Linked DNA regions of Nothobranchius furzeri. The protein of the gene in region 1 purifies or fractionates together with the protein of each later gene. This does not show direct contact. Links are inferred from orthologs where the notes say so. Each region holds a gene or a part of one and is shown in the gene's direction. Other genes may lie near its edges.

Evidence for each region. The genes of interacting proteins can lie anywhere in the genome.
Region 2: the proteins of splicing factor U2AF 65 kDa subunit (region 1) and snrpd1 fractionate together in Homo sapiens (co-fractionation; 3 studies listed by BioGRID, with this or other methods). This does not show direct contact. The link is inferred for Nothobranchius furzeri from reciprocal best matches to the Homo sapiens genes U2AF2 and SNRPD1.
Region 3: the proteins of splicing factor U2AF 65 kDa subunit (region 1) and psma4 fractionate together in Homo sapiens (co-fractionation; 3 studies listed by BioGRID, with this or other methods). This does not show direct contact. The link is inferred for Nothobranchius furzeri from reciprocal best matches to the Homo sapiens genes U2AF2 and PSMA4.
Region 4: the proteins of splicing factor U2AF 65 kDa subunit (region 1) and tra2b purify together in Homo sapiens (affinity purification with mass spectrometry; 4 studies listed by BioGRID and IntAct, counting the BioPlex papers as one, with this or other methods). This does not show direct contact. The link is inferred for Nothobranchius furzeri from reciprocal best matches to the Homo sapiens genes U2AF2 and TRA2B.

The regions. Positions count from the first base shown.
Region 1 is NC_091745.1:76,211,398-76,215,467, forward strand, and holds the end of splicing factor U2AF 65 kDa subunit, read left to right. Parts: intron 1-664; coding exon 665-768; intron 769-894; coding exon 895-1,046; intron 1,047-1,153; coding exon 1,154-1,270; intron 1,271-1,575; coding exon 1,576-1,732; intron 1,733-1,845; coding exon 1,846-1,925; intron 1,926-2,087; coding exon 2,088-2,210; intron 2,211-2,286; coding exon 2,287-2,373; intron 2,374-2,626; coding exon 2,627-2,875; intron 2,876-2,960; coding exon 2,961-3,095; 3' UTR 3,096-3,145; downstream 3,146-4,070. UniProt on the Homo sapiens protein: Plays a role in pre-mRNA splicing and 3'-end processing. By recruiting PRPF19 and the PRP19C/Prp19 complex/NTC/Nineteen complex to the RNA polymerase II C-terminal domain (CTD), and thereby pre-mRNA, may couple transcription to splicing.
Region 2 is NC_091759.1:18,894,457-18,898,994, reverse strand, and holds snrpd1 (small nuclear ribonucleoprotein Sm D1), read left to right. Parts: upstream 1-1,986; 5' UTR 1,987-2,110; coding exon 2,111-2,124; intron 2,125-2,669; coding exon 2,670-2,746; intron 2,747-3,079; coding exon 3,080-3,280; intron 3,281-3,553; coding exon 3,554-3,630; 3' UTR 3,631-3,855; downstream 3,856-4,538. Other genes in the region: gamma-glutamylcyclotransferase, read left to right, coding at 4,352-4,468. UniProt on the Homo sapiens protein: Plays a role in pre-mRNA splicing as a core component of the spliceosomal U1, U2, U4 and U5 small nuclear ribonucleoproteins (snRNPs), the building blocks of the spliceosome.
Region 3 is NC_091749.1:46,740,378-46,745,193, forward strand, and holds psma4 (proteasome subunit alpha type-4), read left to right. Parts: upstream 1-1,833; 5' UTR 1,834-1,925; intron 1,926-2,006; 5' UTR 2,007-2,138; intron 2,139-2,500; 5' UTR 2,501-2,523; coding exon 2,524-2,526; intron 2,527-2,621; coding exon 2,622-2,664; intron 2,665-3,201; coding exon 3,202-3,364; intron 3,365-3,459; coding exon 3,460-3,537; intron 3,538-3,630; coding exon 3,631-3,719; intron 3,720-3,850; coding exon 3,851-3,981; intron 3,982-4,057; coding exon 4,058-4,181; intron 4,182-4,309; coding exon 4,310-4,464; 3' UTR 4,465-4,546; downstream 4,547-4,816. Other genes in the region: slc25a44b (solute carrier family 25 member 44b), read right to left, coding at 1-81. UniProt on the Homo sapiens protein: Component of the 20S core proteasome complex involved in the proteolytic degradation of most intracellular proteins. This complex plays numerous essential roles within the cell by associating with different regulatory particles.
Region 4 is NC_091754.1:18,122,520-18,127,489, reverse strand, and holds the start of tra2b (transformer-2 protein homolog beta), read left to right. Parts: upstream 1-1,987; 5' UTR 1,988-2,059; coding exon 2,060-2,125; intron 2,126-4,372; coding exon 4,373-4,473; intron 4,474-4,560; coding exon 4,561-4,723; intron 4,724-4,822; coding exon 4,823-4,970. UniProt on the Homo sapiens protein: Sequence-specific RNA-binding protein which participates in the control of pre-mRNA splicing. Can either activate or suppress exon inclusion. Acts additively with RBMX to promote exon 7 inclusion of the survival motor neuron SMN2.

The DNA.
Region 1 (4,070 bases):
GGCCGCCTTGATCTCACGAGGTTATCGATGCCTACGTATGCATGACGTCAGAGCAAGTTGGCGTCAAGTCAGACACAAATCTAACCGGCATGCACTGCTCGCCGATCACTGGTGATCGACTCTGCGCAGAACTGGCTCATCTCGAACACGGCCATAGTCAAGTTAACGTTCGTGGACTCACCCATCTTGGCTCGCGACGGGGAAGGCTGTTGTTGTTTTAGTGTCTAGAAAACCGCAGAAAACATCTCAACTAGTAGAAGCTAGCCATTAGCATTTGCAACTCCACCACACAGCAGAACTCCTCCAGGCTGGTTTTATGTTTGGAGATAAAACATCAACGTTCCAGAGCTAACAGTCAGTTGTAGAGTCACATTGCTGTTATCCAATCAGAGGTGATATGTTCAAATATCAGGAACTAAGAGTCCAAATCCTCCGTCTGAAACTCAACTCTGCTCTGGCTCACTTTGAGTTTCTGAAACTGGAGCTTCAGAGCTTTTTTCCTCAGAGATTAACTCGTTTATACCAGAGACAACAGCAAATGTGTTGCTTAAATGAGTGAATTTGGTCTTAAAATCATTATTTCTTAATATATTTCAGCAAATCACCCTGTATTTAATCAAAACGTGAGTTAAATTTATTTCACTTTTTTCTTTTTGTCAAACAGCCGTTCTCCTCAGCGTGAGAAGAAGAAGAAGATAAAGAAGTACTGGGATGTCCCTCCGCCTGGATTTGAACACATCACTCCCATGCAGTACAAAGCCATGCAGGGTAACAAGTTTGATACATTTATAGTTGGGATGTTATCCATCGCGGTACTGAAACCTCTATGTGATGTAGATATGATGGTAGTGTGGTAAAATGGAAGATTATAACTTTGTGTTTCGTGTTTTTCAGCGGCAGGACAAATTCCAGCCACCGCCCTCCTGCCGACCATGACCCCAGACGGCCTGGCTGTAACCCCCACCCCCGTACCTGTGGTGGGCAGCCAGATGACCCGGCAGGCCCGCCGTCTTTATGTTGGCAACATCCCCTTTGGTATCACAGAGGTGAGAAACAGAAAAGCATATTTCGGTTTGGATAATATCGTTTTAATGACCTTTACTCTTTGTGTGTGTGTGTGCGTGTGCGTGTGTGTGTGTGCGTGTGTGTGTAGGAGTCCATGATGGACTTCTTTAACGCTCAGATGCGTTTAGGTGGTCTTACTCAGGCCCCTGGAAATCCTGTCCTCGCTGTACAGATCAACCAGGACAAGAACTTTGCCTTCCTTGAGGTGAGAAACATCCCGTGATGGTCATTAATGATCCTCAGGAGCAGGGTTAGGGAACCCTGGTCCCGATCCAACACGTTTTAGAGGTTTCCCTGCTTCAACACATCTGATTTTAAACAGCAGGCTATTAACAGGCTTCTGTAGAGGCTGATGAGCTGCTAAACTGGTGAATCCTCTGTGTCGGAGCAGGGAAACCTAAAACGTGTTGGCTGGCGGCTCTCCAGGACCAGGGTTCCCTACTCCTGCTCTGAAGTATTCCTGAACTCTCGTTGGATCTTGTTTGTGTGTTTTTAAATGTTTCTGTTCAGTTTCGTTCAGTGGATGAAACGACACAGGCAATGGCCTTTGATGGCATCATCTTTCAAGGCCAAAGCCTTAAAATCCGTCGTCCGCACGACTACCAGCCACTGCCCGGCATGAGCGAGAACCCCAGTGTCTATGTGCCTGGTACACAGACAATTAATGGTTTTTATCCTTACATTTTGCTACAAGTATACATAAACATTTGATCACTCAATATCCACGTGAGCCTCTTCTCGGGTTCCTCAGACTCGTTCTTGTCCTTGCACATTTTGCAGGAGTGGTGTCCACAGTGGTCCCAGACTCGGCTCACAAGCTCTTTATTGGTGGATTGCCCAATTATCTGAACGATGACCAGGTCGGTGTTGCAGTCTAAGTGCCATCCTGGTGCTTAGCATTCATGTGTGTTTTCTTATTGGTGACATTTTGGTGTTGAAATGAACCGAATGAAATAAAAAGTTGACATTAATCTTGTTTGCTTTAGTTTCCATCTAAACTCGCGTGAACTCTCGTGTTTCAGGTGAAGGAGTTGTTGACGTCGTTTGGCCCTCTGAAGGCCTTTAACCTGGTAAAAGACAGTGCCACAGGCCTATCTAAAGGATATGCCTTCTGTGAATATGTTGATGTCAACCTGAACGATCAGGTAACGGGTCCCAGCAGGTACGTCTGTGGTGGAACCTTTCTGGAAACGGGTCACTGAGCTTTGGCTGTCTGCACAGGCTATCGCTGGACTGAACGGCATGCAGCTCGGAGACAAGAAGCTCCTGGTGCAGAGGGCTAGCGTGGGATCCAAGAACGCCACTCTGGTGAGGCTCCAGCTGCTGGGTGAATGACAGCAGAACGGTGGGAGGCTGGATGTCGGTTCTAAAACGGACCGAGACAGATTGCTGAATAGATCTGCTGCAGCTCCTCGTCTGTTCAGTTCTAACCAGGACAAATATACGTCTTTTCAGCCAAGTCGTGTACTGAATATGAAGCTGTGCGCTTGTGTTTAGGGTGGATCTATGGCGGTATGCAGAAGCCTGAACGTGAAAGTCTTTGTTGTTGTTTTTTCTCCAGACAACTATAAACCAGACCCCGGTGACGCTGCAGGTGCCGGGTTTGAACAGCTCCGTCACTCAGATGGGTGGCCTGCCCACTGAGGTGCTGTGCCTGATGAACATGGTGGCCCCCGAGGAGCTCCTGGACGATGAAGAATATGAGGAGATTGTGGAAGACGTCAGGGAGGAGTGCAGCAAGTACGGCCAAGTGAAAAGCATCGAGATCCCTCGTCCGGTGGACGGCCTGGACATACCTGGGACGGGCAAGGTAGGCAACCTTCAGATTCTGATGTAAAGCGCTTTGATGGATCAGCAAATCATAACCGTGCCTCTTGTTTTCCCTCGCTTCACAGATTTTTGTGGAGTTCACTTCAGTTTTTGATGCCCAGAAGGCCATGCAGGGGCTGACTGGAAGGAAGTTTGCCAACAGGGTGGTGGTAACGAAATACTGCGATCCAGATGCTTATCACCGCCGGGACTTCTGGTAGAGGGGGGACGATGAGAGGGAAAGGGGAGGGAGGGGGGAGGGAGGGAGTGTAGCATGTACTGCCTGTTTCCAAATAGCCCTCGGAGTGATTTTGGCTGAGCAGCATTTCAGGTAGATCTCGGACTGTTAATCGTTTGGCGAACGGCTTTGGTGATGTCCGGTTAATTAAAGGAGATCTACGTGACGTGTTGAGCATTTAGCACCAGTGTGGCAGGGAGGAGGAGAGGAATGGCGTGTGTTTATTTTAAATGTAACACCGGGCTCGGTTTGGGGCGGTAGTCGTGTAGCTGGGTGGGTTGGGATGTGTATGAAATTTGAGAAATGTGTGTAATAACGGGGCCGGGGTGGGTCGAGAATTTTTTTTTTATACTTTGTGAGACATGGATGTTGTTTTTTTGGGTGGGAACAGGGAGCCACGCTTCAAAGGTTTGTATTTAAATGGAGTCGACCTGTTTTAAGTACATTTAGAGAGGATCTGCAGCACGGAGCTACTGGAAAATTCTGATTGAGAAGAGTTGGAAACTAAAAGGAGATGGTGTGATGGGCGTTGTTGTTTGATGATCCAATGTAGATACACAGTAGCTGTAACATCCACTTTGGTTTTGTCACCATCACTAGAAAGGTGTGTGGAGACTCCTCGTGTTCTTGCATCGTGATCAGACCGCTGTCCCTCCAGCACTGTTGTTGTGCGACTAATCTGAACGTCAGCTGTTCTGATTCTGTGTAGCTTCGCCGATTCTCAGCTGCAAAGTCACCCGGTGTTTAAGCTGCAAAGTCACGAGCTACGCAAAGATTTTCAGTTGTTCCTTATTTCTCTTGGTGTAACTTTTCTCACGAGTATTTTTGAGCAGCTATAAAAAGATGAGAACTTTTAGTCCCAGCAGTTTGGCTCTGATTTAGTCAAAGATGGAGAAGAAGCAAAAACAAACATTCATGTTTGATGGGAATATGTCTCGTTCTAACCAGCAAGCCTTAA
Region 2 (4,538 bases), on another chromosome or scaffold:
TTCTGTCCATCTCCGTTTTTGGTGCTGAAATCCAAGCCTGCCTGGTTTAAACGACACCGACCCAAACCCGAGCCAAACTCTGGAACCTCAGAGCCCATTTAGCGCCGTACAATCATTGGCCCACCCCTGACTAGTTTATTCTTAACTCGTGCACACCGTGCCTGTTCCGTTGGTGCCAACACACTACTGATCACTAAAACCTCCAGACGTTTACAGCCAGCTGCAGGTGGGAGGGCCCTCCATCAGAGTCGGTGCTCGTGAGACAAGTTTTTCTAAAAGTGTTCCCTGACTACCAGAGGCCACCATCGATCGTTCAAATAGGTTTTTTTAAGCAAAAAAACTCCAAAATCCAAGATTTCCCCCCTAAAAAAAGTCGCAATTTAAGTCGTCAACTAAGTTTAAAAAGTTTATGTTTATTTATTTGGCAGACGCTTTTATCCAAAGCGACGTACGATTTATTTAACTTGTAGGGCGTGTTGTGATCTGTGGGGGAAACCCACGCGTGCGCGGGGAGAACACGCAACTCCACGCAGAAAGGCCGCAGCCGAGTTTCGAACCTGCAACCTTCTTGCTGCGAGGCAACAGTGCTAACAGCTGCGCCACCGTGCAGCCCACAAGTCGACGAAATTCATTTTATCATCTCTGAGCTGTTTACCTTCATTTTCAGTCACTTTAGGTTTATACGCTTTTAGCATATCGGCGTTCACACTACAGCATCGTTTGACTCGTATTTATTAGCTGCTTTAGAAATAAATCATTTATCATCACTTCCTTATTATAGTGAGGATCTTCTTTTGGTGTGTGTGCCTTCTTTAGTTTCTATTTGTTAACATTGTTTTTTAAACACGCTAAATCAAAGTTTAAAAGCCTAAAACATTTCATGGCGCAGCGGCCCGACGTTTAACCCCTTTATCTGAATGTTCACGTCCAGCTGACCTTTGATTTTATTTTGTTGGACGTGTGACTTCCTGTTTGAGCCCCGCTGTAACGTTTACAGGAGAATAAAACACGACTGCTGATCTGAAGATCGATTACTCAGTTGCTATGGTTAAGGTGGAGAGAAACCCCAAAAGGACATTATCTGTTTCCACATGAAAGATTTCCAGGAACACGTGCTCACCTGCTGTAATATTTCATGACTTCTGTTTTAAACCACTGCATAATTAGATTTTCTTTTCTAGAGTTCAACAGCAGATGCACTGAGTCGAGACTTTTTCTGCTCCAGAATATTAATAACGTGTTGCGTCAATCATGTGCAGGCAACACACAGAGAGGATGACGGTTTTATTTATTTTTATTATTATTAGAAGTGGAATAATGCTGAGTTTAATGGCCTTGTGCCGTTTTTCTTTTTGTGCTTCACACTTTATGATTTATTGGTCTCAGCCTACATCTTTGGAATAAAAAAAAGCACTCTCATTGATTATACTTGATACATTCCCAGCAGGTCTCAAGAAGACAGATTTGATGTGTGGCCAAATCTCTTAAGTATCGGTGCAGAGTTTACTCTTAATAAAATGAGCTGAAAGTGCTGCTTTGTGGTTTTATTCAACTGCGACAAGTTCTCTGAAGTTGTCTCCTGATCTGTTGAATGAATTAGGTCTTGATCAGTTAGGGTTAATTGTTGTGGATATTTTACCTTTTTTCATCTTCCAGATTTTGATAAATCAGTAAAAATGTAAATTTTACTACGACTTTAACACATGTTGCACATAAACACCGTTTTGACCTTTTGGTTGCAAATTCTGCAGATCACGAATCCAGCAGTAGGTAACGGTAGTGATCTTCCTAAATATTGATCATTTAGGGATCTTTGTTTTGGATATTTGACCTTTTAACTGCCAGATTCCAATAAATTAGTAGTAAAATAAAGATTGTGGATTTTAACACTACTGTAAAACATGTTGCACAGAAAAATAAAACAAAAGTGTTAGAACGGATCACAATTCCACCAGTAGATGGCGGTAATTACACCCCCTCGTCTTTGTTGTCGCCTTTTAGTGACGTCACATCCCTGAACGTTTCGAATACAACAGCGGCCTGTGTTTTCACTCGATCGCTGTAATTTTTGTCTTCGGTGGAGGATTTTTCTCTACTGTTTTCCATCATCATGAAACTAGTCAGGTAGGCGGCAGCGGGAGGTCCCGGATTAACCGGAGAATTAACGTAAACTGATCAAATGAAAGTGATGTGGCCGGATGGATTGGGATTTGATTAAACGGTGATGAGGCGGGAAGTGGAAAAATGTAATGGATCCTGAGCGACGTTACGGCGACCGCTGAGGGTTTAAAACACGTTCCTACGCACAGTTTTAATTATCAACATAGATGAACGTCTACTTTAAGTACATTTCTATTTCAATAAGTAAAAATATTAGGCTAGACGTTAACTCATTCAACCGTTGTAGCATTAGCTTGTCAATCAACTAAAGCGGCTCAAAATGGGGTTTTAACATAATTTGTTAGAGTTCATTTTGTAAATATTTAGTTTAGCTGTTAAACTGGTGGATAATCAGTGTTTTTATTGTTTCAAACGCTTTAAAAGTCACCTAATAGCCATCGGTGGCTAACTAGATAGCTAAAGCTAAGCTACTATCTAGCCTCTGCGAGAAATGTCCCAATTACGTTGTGATGTTTTCACTCAGTCATCGTGTGCAATGATGCCCACAGGTTTTTGATGAAGCTCAGCCATGAAACCGTAACCATTGAGCTGAAAAATGGCACCCAGGTTCACGGCACCATCACAGGTGAGCTCATAAAGGTGGTCAGATAAGCCAGGAGTCAGCTGAAGCTCTTTAATTTCAATACTAATGACATATATTTGTATGCATTAAGTAGATTAATACCCACAGCTGTGCTTTCATCCTCATAGTCAGACTTTAGTACAGATAAATCTGCACAATGTATGTTTTTGTATTATTTAATCCTATTTGATGGGATTTTTTTATGTTTAACAAACCCTAGACAAGCACACACACAACCTGCAAATTAAAATATTTTCTAATCTGTAAAATTAATCCTAAACTCAAGTGCCAGATGTACTTATGGCTGGTGTTTCATCCCTCCTCTCTGTTTTTCAGGTGTTGATGTGAGCATGAACACTCACCTGAAGGCGGTAAAAATGACCCTAAAAAACAGGGAGCCCACTCAGCTGGAGTCGCTGAGTATCCGCGGCAACAATATTCGCTACTTCATCCTCCCAGACAGCCTCCCTCTGGACACCTTGCTGGTTGACATCGAGCCAAAGATCAAGTCCAAGAAGAGAGAAGCAGGTGAGAAAGGTGAAAATGCATAAGATATGTTGAGTTGAATTTTATCTTAAGGTGTTTTTTTTAGAAAGTGAATCTGAATTCTCCTTTGCGTGAACAAAAAGGTTTTCACAGTGATGTAACTGGTGTGTTTGCACAGGTTTCTGCATGGGTTTATATTAAAAGAACTAAATTGTAACATTAACTGTACGACATAATTTAAGGAGTGGTTTAAAGGACCAGATGCTAAATGAGCAATATGGTGTTTGTGACACTTGTGCTGATGCTGCTCATCTGTCTCCTCAGTGGCTGGACGGGGACGAGGCAGGGGACGGGGACGTGGGAGAGGAAGGGGACGGGGACGAGGTGGACCAAGGAGATGATCGCAAGGCTGTTCTGTTGATTCCTAACACTTCACTGTTTGTACAGGATTTTTTTTTTCCTTTGCTTCATTAAAGCAGAAACGTTTTGTGAATTTCTGTGTGCTTTTTAGTTGGACTTTTTTTTTTGTACATTAAACTTCTGGTTAAGAGGACAAATTACTCTGACTTCTTTGTGTTGGTTTTTAATACTGAATAAAGTGTCAGCACATAAACTAGCATCATTAACTACTGTGTTGTCCCAATCAGATCCCAATGCTACTGGTGTACTAGCCAGCCCCACGCTTCCTTGTGTATAAAGTTACACAGATGAGTCTGGCAGGCCAGGCTCTAAAATAAAAATGTATTTTATGAAATTATTATTTAGTCATCAGACCTTTATCCCACTACAGTTGACAAAATAAAGCAAAACTGTTTATTTAGTCAACTTTTAGGTGCAGTTTCTCACATCAGTTGTGATAATTGGTAAAACTGCACATGTAGGTGGGGGAACGTTGTTTTACATTACACCGGGGACCAAAGTCACCGCTAGATGGCGGTGTAGGAAAAGTGACCTGGTAGATGGTAGCCTATAGGATGGCTTGCCGGGCTAACGTAGAGGTTCGTGGAATGACGTAAATCATTGCCCAAAGCTAGTTATTTTATATTAAACGATCATCTTTTAACATATTCGTCACATGTCGAAGGCACCAGGTTCTTTTCGAGCAGGAGTATTTTTATCACAATGTCTGTGGCTAGCGTCGGCCGTTTCCTGTACTTCGCGTATGGAAGCAACTTATTAAAGGAAAGGCTGCAGCTGAAAAACCCTTCGGCTACGTTCGTCTCTACTGGTCGCCTGAAGGTTTGTTCGTTAAATATGTCGCCAGTTTCTCACCTAAAGTTAGTGCTCAGTGGCTAGCCTGCTAGAGCCT
Region 3 (4,816 bases), on another chromosome or scaffold:
CATGAATATCCCAAAAGAATAGAACTTCCTTTTGTCAAGGTCCTCCCACTCGATGATCTGGATATTCCTTTTCTGCTGCATCCTGCCAGCTGTTGGTGACCCTTCATCAGACTCTTTCCTCCTGACAGCATAAAACAAAAGAGTAAATAATCAGTCAAACATTATTTATAAAGCACTTACTGCGAGTTAAATCAGAACTGAGAACTTTGTCACCAGCAGAAGAGAAAAAACAGAACAGCCAGTGAAAGGGGTTCGACAGGAAGGAGTGTGGTATTAGGAAAACTGATAAACCTGAATAATATTAGTTTATGATCATAAATGCACATGTTATTTAAATCTGAGTGACGGTGTTTGATCTGTCAGTGACAACACTGGTGGAAGTGTTTCTTCAATGTTTCACCATCTCTGGTTGCCCGTGAAACGTGGTTCAAAGGTCATGATCGGCTAAAGGTAGCATTACGGATCTTAATTTGTTTTAATCAAAACAATGTTTTTAGAAAAAGTTGTTTCACTGATGTCGCATTTCTACGCAGAAACTTGATAACAATGTCAGAAATGACTCCAGGCAACACGACGCTCCCAAGCCGGTAACGGAAACCATTCAATTTTACTCTAAAATGGATTTTTAAAAAGCGGGGTCCTACCGGTAGCAAAACAGCGACGTTTTTAATAAATTGTGTCATTTTACCACCAGCTGACGCCAGGCTAACTTGTACTCGCTTACACTGAGCTAGCTCAAAATTAGCATTACTTAATCAAACAACATTAATAAGCCCTTACCTCTCCGGATAAATTTTGTTTTATCTCTAAGACATATCCTGATTATAAGTATGGTCAACTCTCCGCGGTCACAGGCGTCTGGAACTCTGTACTACTGATTGACTAGTGAAGTTTCACCAGACGACGATAACCTCTTTACACTTCCTGCTCTCATTCAAACGCCATGCTGCTTAATCAACCAATCACGCGCGACAGTTCTTCTTCTACTCATTTCTGGCGGTTGTCAAACGGATAGTTGCATTAGCGCCACCAACTGGGTGTAATTGTTTTCAATCTTCAATACGAAACACGAGAAATGTATTTAAGCGATTTTTAAATGCTGCTCTCATTGTTTTAATGTTAAAAATGTAAATTTCTACCATTTAATTTTAAGGTTTCAGTAAACGCTTTACAACTTTAAAATAAACTGTTTTGTCTATTTTTCGAATTGTTCCCTTTACCAGGTCACTCATTATAGCTCACATATGTTCTATCTGACAGTATATCTATTGTTTCACACTGCAAGAACTTTATTTAGTAAATTTACAAAAAACATGGCATTTTGAAAATGTTAAATCCAAAAACTAAATTTAAAATGAGCAGTTAATATACTATGACATTAGTAAATACAAATTAAGTAAACCAAAAAAAGAAAGAAAAAAAGGGAGAGAGAGAGAGAGAGAGAGAGAGAGAGAGAGAGAGAGAGAGAGAGAGAGAGAGAGAGAGAGACAAAAAACAAGTAGAGTACAGCTTTCAATGAGGGTATGGCGTTTGTCATATAATTAGGAAGTGTCTTGGAAATTCAGCTAACATGTTATTTACGTTTTTTTTTTCATCCATCCATCCATTTTCTGAGCCCGCTTTGTCCAGCAGGGTCGCGGGGGGCCGGTGCCTATCTCCAGTGTGTCAACGGGCAATCAGGCGGGGTACACCCAGTCCATCGCAGGGCAACACAGAGACACAGGACAAATAATCATGCACACACACACACTCACACCTAAGGGCAATTTGGACAGACCAATCAACCTAACAGTCATGTTTTTGGACTGTGGAAGGAAGCCGGAGTGCCCGGAGAGAACCCACGCATGCACAGTGAGAACATGCAAACTCCATGCAGAAATGGCCGGGAAGCGAACTTAGGACCTTCTTGCTACAAGGCAACAACTGTAAGCACTGCGTCACTGCGCAGCCATGTTTTTGTTTTCAGTAAAGGTGAATCTCAGATTTATCAGTCCTCCTACCAACAGGCGGCGCTGCTGAGCGGCTACTTCACTGCCGGACGCCGGTGGAGGAGCGAGGAAATATCAAACTGAAAGTGTTAGCAGAGCAAACCCTGTAGCTCAAGCAAAAGTACGCCGTTTCAGACTCTTTGGTTTAAGGTAACAGAATATCGATGCTTAAATGTTTGACGCATTATTTTGCTTTTTTTCAGTGTAATTATAAGTTGTTTATTATATTGTCTCAGTTTGTCGCACTCCCAATTAGAGACATGAGAAACAGAGAGGCTGTAAGCTAACGTGTTAGCATGCTACGATATTGCAGATTCATTCTGCTGTAGCAACGCGCTACAGCAGCTTGCTATCAGTGTTTGATCCTCGTTGCTATCAAAGTTTCGGTCCTCTAACTTTCATGAAATTTTTATCTAAATGTTCAAATGGTCACAATATAGCTCTGTTCGTGTATATCTGTAATGTTTGGCTATTTGATTGCTCCTGCTAACACTTGTGTTGCTTCTATTTAGGAAATCTCAGGTGACCTGAGAAAATGGTAATTATGTGCTTCATACGCCCTATGATTTTTATGTATTTATCAGTTTTTATGTGATTGCTTCATGTCGTTTTATCTATTTTATTTGTACGTAGTCTCGCAGGTATGACTCTCGGACAACCATATTTTCACCTGAAGGTAATTCTTAAGACACGTTTTAGTCTTCGCAATGCAAAAGTAGTTGTTTTTATATTGTAAAACGGAAAGACCATTCACATTTCTGATAGCTGAGAAAATGATTACTTCACTATTTTTTGGCATGCAGAGCATGTTTATTTAAATATAAACATGATGTCAACTACACTATTTTGTAGCAAAACCTTCAAATCCCAATTTGCACGAATATTTCACTGGTAAACCATGTTTTCATTGTTTTAATTGTTACACCCACTCAGGCAATCTAGGAGTGGTGAGGGGAAAACACAGTAAAGATAAAAATAAAAAGGAAGTAAAAGGCGTATGGTGTCTGGATAGGATGGGGATGAAATTAGGGAAAAGGCCCATCATGAGTGAAACTGAACTGAAGTGAAATAAGTTAACTTTAGATCTGTTCTTGGGCTCAATAGGGAAGCAAAAGTAGTTTTAATAAACCCATGCAAGTACTCTTGCTCATTTAGATTGTTTTCTTTTTTTAACAAAACAAATGTTAAACAAAATATTTTCTGTAATTTCCAGGACGTCTTTATCAGGTGGAGTATGCAATGGAAGCAATTGGTCACGCTGGAACCTGTCTGGGGATTCTAGCAAACGATGGGGTGCTGTTAGCCGCAGAAAGACGCAACATCCACAAACTGCTAGATGAAGTTTTCTTCTCTGAGAAGATCTACAAGCTCAATGAGTGAGAAGCTTAAACCAGCTTATGTTATTTTGAAAGTATTTTTTTTTTTATGTTTTTACTTGTTTTTAAGGCTGATTTGTTGATCTGCTTTCCAGAGACATGGCTTGTAGTGTTGCTGGAATCACATCTGATGCCAATGTATTGACAAATGAGCTGCGGCTAATTGCACAGAGGTGAGTGTTAACAGAATCCTCTGTCACAAATGGAAAAAAATGAACAGATCTGAAAAGTGTTCGTCATCATGACTGAGATCTTTTCCTTTTCAGGTATTTACTACAGTACCAAGAGCCCATACCGTGTGAGCAGCTGGTCACAGCTCTGTGTGACATAAAGCAAGCCTACACACAGTTTGGAGGCAAGATACTCCTCCTTACTCTGCTTCATACTGTTTATCAACATGCTTCCTTTCATATGAACATGTCACTCTGCTCTTGTATATATTACTTTACAAACAAGAATGTGTGTATAAGCTGTTTGTCTGAACAGGCAAGAGGCCGTTTGGTGTTTCTCTCCTCTACATGGGGTGGGACAAGCACTACGGCTTCCAGCTGTACCAAAGTGACCCCAGTGGCAACTACGGAGGTTGGAAGGCAACCTGTATTGGGAACAACAGTGCTGTAAGTCAGAGTAGCTGTAAAGTCAAAATGGTAGTTTGGATCATTTGGTTTGATTTGTTTGACTTTTTGGTGTCAGGCTGCAGTTTCCATGTTGAAGCAGGACTACAAAGAAGGGGAGATGACCCTGTCTTCTGCTTTGGCGTTGGCCATCAAAGTCCTCAACAAAACCATGGATGTCAGCAAGCTGTCAGCAGAGAAAGGTGAGGTTCTGTGGCACTCTCGGATGGTGCAGCAGTAAGTTAAGCAAGTTAAAACTTAAAGGTCCACTTGACTGTTGAAAAGATCCTCCTGTTGCAACAGTAGCATGATTCTGTTCTGATCGTTTCAGTTGAGATCGCCACCTTGACACGTGAAGATGGAAAAACCAAGATCAAGGTGTTGAAACAGAAGGAGGTGGAGGAGCTCATCAAGAAGCACGAGGCTGAAGAGGCCAAGGCTGAAAAAGACAAAAAGGAAAAGGAGCAAAAGGAGAAGGACAAATAAGAAAAGAATAACATTGTTTTTCTCACTCTTTCATCAAATTCTGTATCATTTCGTCTTTTACAATAAATTCTCAGAAACTGAAGTGGAAATGGTTGATCCAACAAGGATTAATCTCACAAATATAGTTGGTTTTACTACAACTGAATCAAAATAGAAGTTTTTACAATATAAATGTGCCTTTCTATTTAGGAAATGTGTGCAATTTGTTAAAGCAGGTTCAGTTTTCACTTGCATGACCAGCAACCAGTAAAAAAAAAACACAAATGATTCTCCTAAAACATAAAGCTGAAGAGAGCACAGTAGGTCATTCATGATGAATAGATGGGTATTTAGTAAAAAGACAAACCTTTTC
Region 4 (4,970 bases), on another chromosome or scaffold:
GTCAGGTCTTGTCACTGCAGAGTCCTGGGTGCATGTGGGCAGGGATCGCTGCTCATGAGTTCATGCACGCGCTCGGATTTGTACACGAGCAGTCCCGCTCAGACAGAGACCACTACGTCACAATTGTATGGAAAAACATCATGCCAGGTTTGGATTCGGGACAACTTCCCAACAATACATCAACTGCACTAATTTAGGAACTCATTTTAGGTACATTTGATCTAAATTAAACTAATATTTTTGCTTGTTTGATTGTTTTAACAGAACATATCCATAACTTCAGAAAACAGGCAACGAACAATCTCAACAGCCCATACGACTACAGCTCTGTCATGCATTATGGACGGTGAGCTGCTGCTTCATAGCCTAGTGAACTAGACCAAATTCTTGCTTTGCAAAGAATGGTCTAGGCATGCTCCATTGGAACCTCAGCAGCTCCTACCAGGACTCTGGCTAGCCAATCACAGCTCTCTAGAGGGGTTTCAAACACATAAAGAGCTGTGATTGGTCCATAATGGTGGGCCAATCATAGTGCTCTATCTGCTTAGTGAACAAATCACAGAGCTTTATTCGCTTTGTGGGCCAATCAGGGCACTCTATATGCCTGGTGGGTGGGATGATGCAACAGAGTGAAACAAGAGTATGTCACATTCATTGTCCAGTGGAATGCGGAGATCATTTGAAAGACAACGGTAGAACCCGCCCCACAACCGAGAGCCGTCAATGGAGCGTGGCCAGACTAAATAATACATTTATTTAGTCTGGCTTGCCAGGTCTGGCTAGCTGCTTCAGGCAACATAATCATATGTCTTCTGAGATTTTTCGGTGGCATCATTTTATGCATCTCTGATTCAGATACGCCTTCTCTGAAGACGGTGGACCAACAATCATTCCCAGACCAGATCCTTACATTCCAATTGGCCAGCGAGACGGACCAAGTGCTCTGGATCTTCATAAAATTAACACCCTGTATGACTGTGGTAGGTATAATGACACAAAACAACTTTATTATTTAATTATACTCATAATCGCTGATCTCTTATAGATTTTTTTATTTGATTTTCTCTCCAGGTCCTAATGAGTAACTAAATCTCTGTGGAAATCTCTGCTCTAAAGTCCTGCCGAATGTGGAAAATAGTTTATTATCATTCAGGCTAATTCATTTTTAATAGGCAGAATTTTTTTTTGTGTGTGTTTGTGTTTTTAGTTTGTGTCGGCTTTTAGATTGTGTCCACTCATCTTTGGGTACAAATCCATTGATTGCCATCAAACTATTGGATATATCAACTAAAATATGAATTCTATGAATATTCAGCCTCCCCTGTGACAAAGCTTTGTAGATAATAATTTTGTACAATCGTCTGCTCTTTTTGCTTTTGCTTTTTGATTCCTAATAAATAAAATGCAACAGAAAAAAGTTGTGGTCACTTTTACATATGAATCATCTGTGTTTTTCAGCAATAAATGAACAAATCAATTAAATTCTATTATGCTGTATTATTTTTCGCACAAGATCTTAAGAAAATCTTGTACTTTCCCGTTGACATGCCAAATCATCACACATGCATGTGAACAAAATGTATATTTAGACAGGTTTGATTAGGCTTCTATCAATTATTCATTTCTTACAAAAATGCATTTTTTGTGACTTAATGGTGTGTTATTTGTGCCTTTCTCATGTAGCTTTGATACACATTAAATTTACTTATTTTTACATAAACTGGAGGACATCAAAGGAGGAGCATTAGATTTAATGATGAATTCTCATATTTAATTGTATTAGGTAAATTACTTACTGTGAGTATTTCCCATTATTATTATTATTATTATTAGTAGTAGTAGTAGTAGTGTTGTTGTTTGATTATTTTCTTCTAATTGAATCCAGCCCTCTAATGCAAATATATATATATAATTCTACAGATGTTTTTCCATTGACATAGTTTTATTTTGTAGCTCTGCGCTACTTTTGAAAAAGAAAACTGGTTTCCGCTGAAGGGCTGAGCGCGTTTGAGTGACGTCATTTTGATTTCCAGGCTGTTTGTCAGTCTTTTCTAGCTCAATGGAACACAACAGTAACCCTCCATCTAGAATAATCACTATCAATAAAATGAGTGACAAAGAGCAGGTATGTGTGAACTTTTTTTTTATTTAGCTTTTTTTTATTATTTTCAATTCGTTCATGATTAAAAAGTGATTCTCTTCCGAGCACCGCGTTGTGTTTTTCGGCTAATGCTCTTTCTGTTTGCTAACTCGTGTTTTTGGTCAAATGTATCATGTTTATTTACTCCACGAAGCATAACAGTGTTAAATCGGTCGTTTTTTCCCTACGAGAAAGCATGTAGGATGAAAATTATATTATTTAGCTTCTGTGAATTAAGCTAGCTGGCTAAGGCTAACGTGTAGCTAGGCCTCAACTTCTGATTACTTTTGTTGCGATATTGGCAAAGGTCTACCACAACCCGCAAAGAAATACATTAATTTTTAAACCATTCAAGCATTTTTAGAGGTAGCTGTTGCAACTTGAACACATTTTTAGCTGAAATGCTAATTATGCTAATGGAACATGCTAGAAGGAAGTAGACGCTAGGGCTTTTTAAGCCATAAAAATTATCGATGAAAGGCTATAATTTAATCATTTGTAGTGCTTTATTCATGTTAACTGTGTGTTTGGCTGCAACTTCGTGTTTGGGTGATTTGCATTTGGTGAAACGGTCAACGTGTTATTGCATTTATCAGCGCAGAAATGTAAAAATAGAAACTCAAAAGGCCTCAAGATGTTTCCTCTTTCATTTACCTGTCAAAGACGAAGGTGGCACTACACTGACTCGATCCGATCAGACTAGAGGCTGTTTTAAATGCTAATTGTTTTTCAGAACCTATTGGGAAATTGTAATATTTAAGGAGATTATTGAGATAATCTTCAAATATCTATTTCTATAAATTAATTAGCTAAAATAAGGATTGTATGTTTACACCCAGAAATAGTCGGGGTTGAAAATCTCTGTAATGGTTATTTTTTAAATCAGAAGCTGAAATTTGGTAACTTCTAAATGTTCTGATGATGCAAATTTATTTGTCTACTTCTCATTTAGTGACTTGCACAAACATCTTGTGATTGATTGGATATTTGATATATTATTTGGGGAATAAGAATAACTTGTGCCTCGTTTGTTTTAAACTTTTTTCTTAAAATCACACTGAAGATCTTTCGAGTGCTGATGATGGGAAAAAAGTACAAACGAGAGGTGTTTGCATCTTGTGGTCATTTTTGTCTGACCTTGCAGTTATTATTTGTAAAGGGTAAAGGACAAATAAGTGGGTTTATTCTGAAATGTAGCTTATTCACATTCAGTGGTTTGAAATGACGGTGAACCATTCATTTTTATAATTTTTTTATGGATGAATAAAACTCCATTGTTGTGTTTTTTTCTGGTGCGACACGTCTCATGCTTTTGTTACGTTCAGGTTGATAAACTAATTGTGTTTATAATTCTCACTTTTCAGGTTGAGCAGTGATTTTTTAAAGATCCCTGCACCCTCCTTCACTTGCTCGTTTTAAAAAACGCGTTGTAAATTGTTAAACAAAATGTGCCAGTAGGGCGTAGAACCACTGAAAGTGAATTATCTTAAAAAAAAAAAAAAAACTGAACATTTGTAATCTTTCTATTTGTGCTAAAAGATCCTGATAACACATGACTGATAACACATGACAAAGTTGAATGAGCGTGCCCTGTTAACTGTAGTCATATATTCTTCATCTTCTTTTTCATTAAGGTTAAGGTTGGACGAAGAAAATGCAGAAGAAGTCTCATGTCCACTTTATTTTCAGTAATATGAAGCTGAGATGTGTGAAGCTGAATTGTTGAATGCATGCTAAAACATGAGGAGGGAAGAACTATGAGCAGTGTGTGTGAAGGGAGAAGTCAGAAGATTTAAGACAATTGAAGAAAGAAGAATAATGTGAAGTAATGAAGTTACAGAAATGAAGTTAAGGAAGTAATCTGGATAAGGTCACTGCGCTAAGTAATTTTCTGGTCTACTTGTCAAATGCGTGCATGTTTTATTTTGTTGAATACAACACAAATTAAATTTTACAATTGAAAAATTTATTTGAATTGTAATTAAGTTAATGTAATCATTGTTGCTATTATAACCTTGGTTGTACAAAGTAACATTAAACATTTATATTTACAAATCAATTTTTTCTACAAATTAACAGGATATATTTAATTCCTATCTCTTTAGAGACTTTTTAAAAAAATGTTCAATATCACATCTGTGATGATAACTGTGTGTGTGTGTGTGTGTGTGTGTGTGTGTGTGTGTGTGTGTGTGTGTGTGTGTGTGTGTGTGTGTGTGTGTGTGTGTTCAGAAGTCTCGCTCTGCTTCCAGGAGCGTGAGCGCACATGGTTCTGGGAAGTCGGCTAGTCGCTCCCGCTCTAAATCCTGGTCTCGCTCCAGGTCCAGGTCTGGGTGAGTTACGAAGCAGCGCTCAGGTGGACTGGACTGAAACGGCCTTGAACTCGTGTGAGGGTGGAAACATTGTCTCTGTCTCTGCAGATCACATTCCCACCGTGGCTCCCGCAGACATTACAGCCGCTCTCGGTCCCGCTCCAAGTCCTATCACCGCAGATCTCGCAGTCGGTCCCACAGCGGGGAACGTCGGCGCAGAAGCCATAGTCACTCCCCTATGTCCAATCGCCGCAGGCACATTGGCAACCGTGTATGTCCTCATTGTTTAGATACATTTCTTTGAATCTGCTCAGCATGAAATTTATAAGCAGATAAACCTATTATTGACCTAATCTTAATATTGCAACAGGCTAATCCAGATCCAAACGGTTGCCTGGGAGTGTTTGGCTTGAGCCTGTACACCACAGAGAGGGACCTAAGGGACGTCTTCTCTAAATATGGACCCCTGGCAGATGTTAGCATCGTGTACGACCAGCAGTCAAGACGCTCCAGGGGCT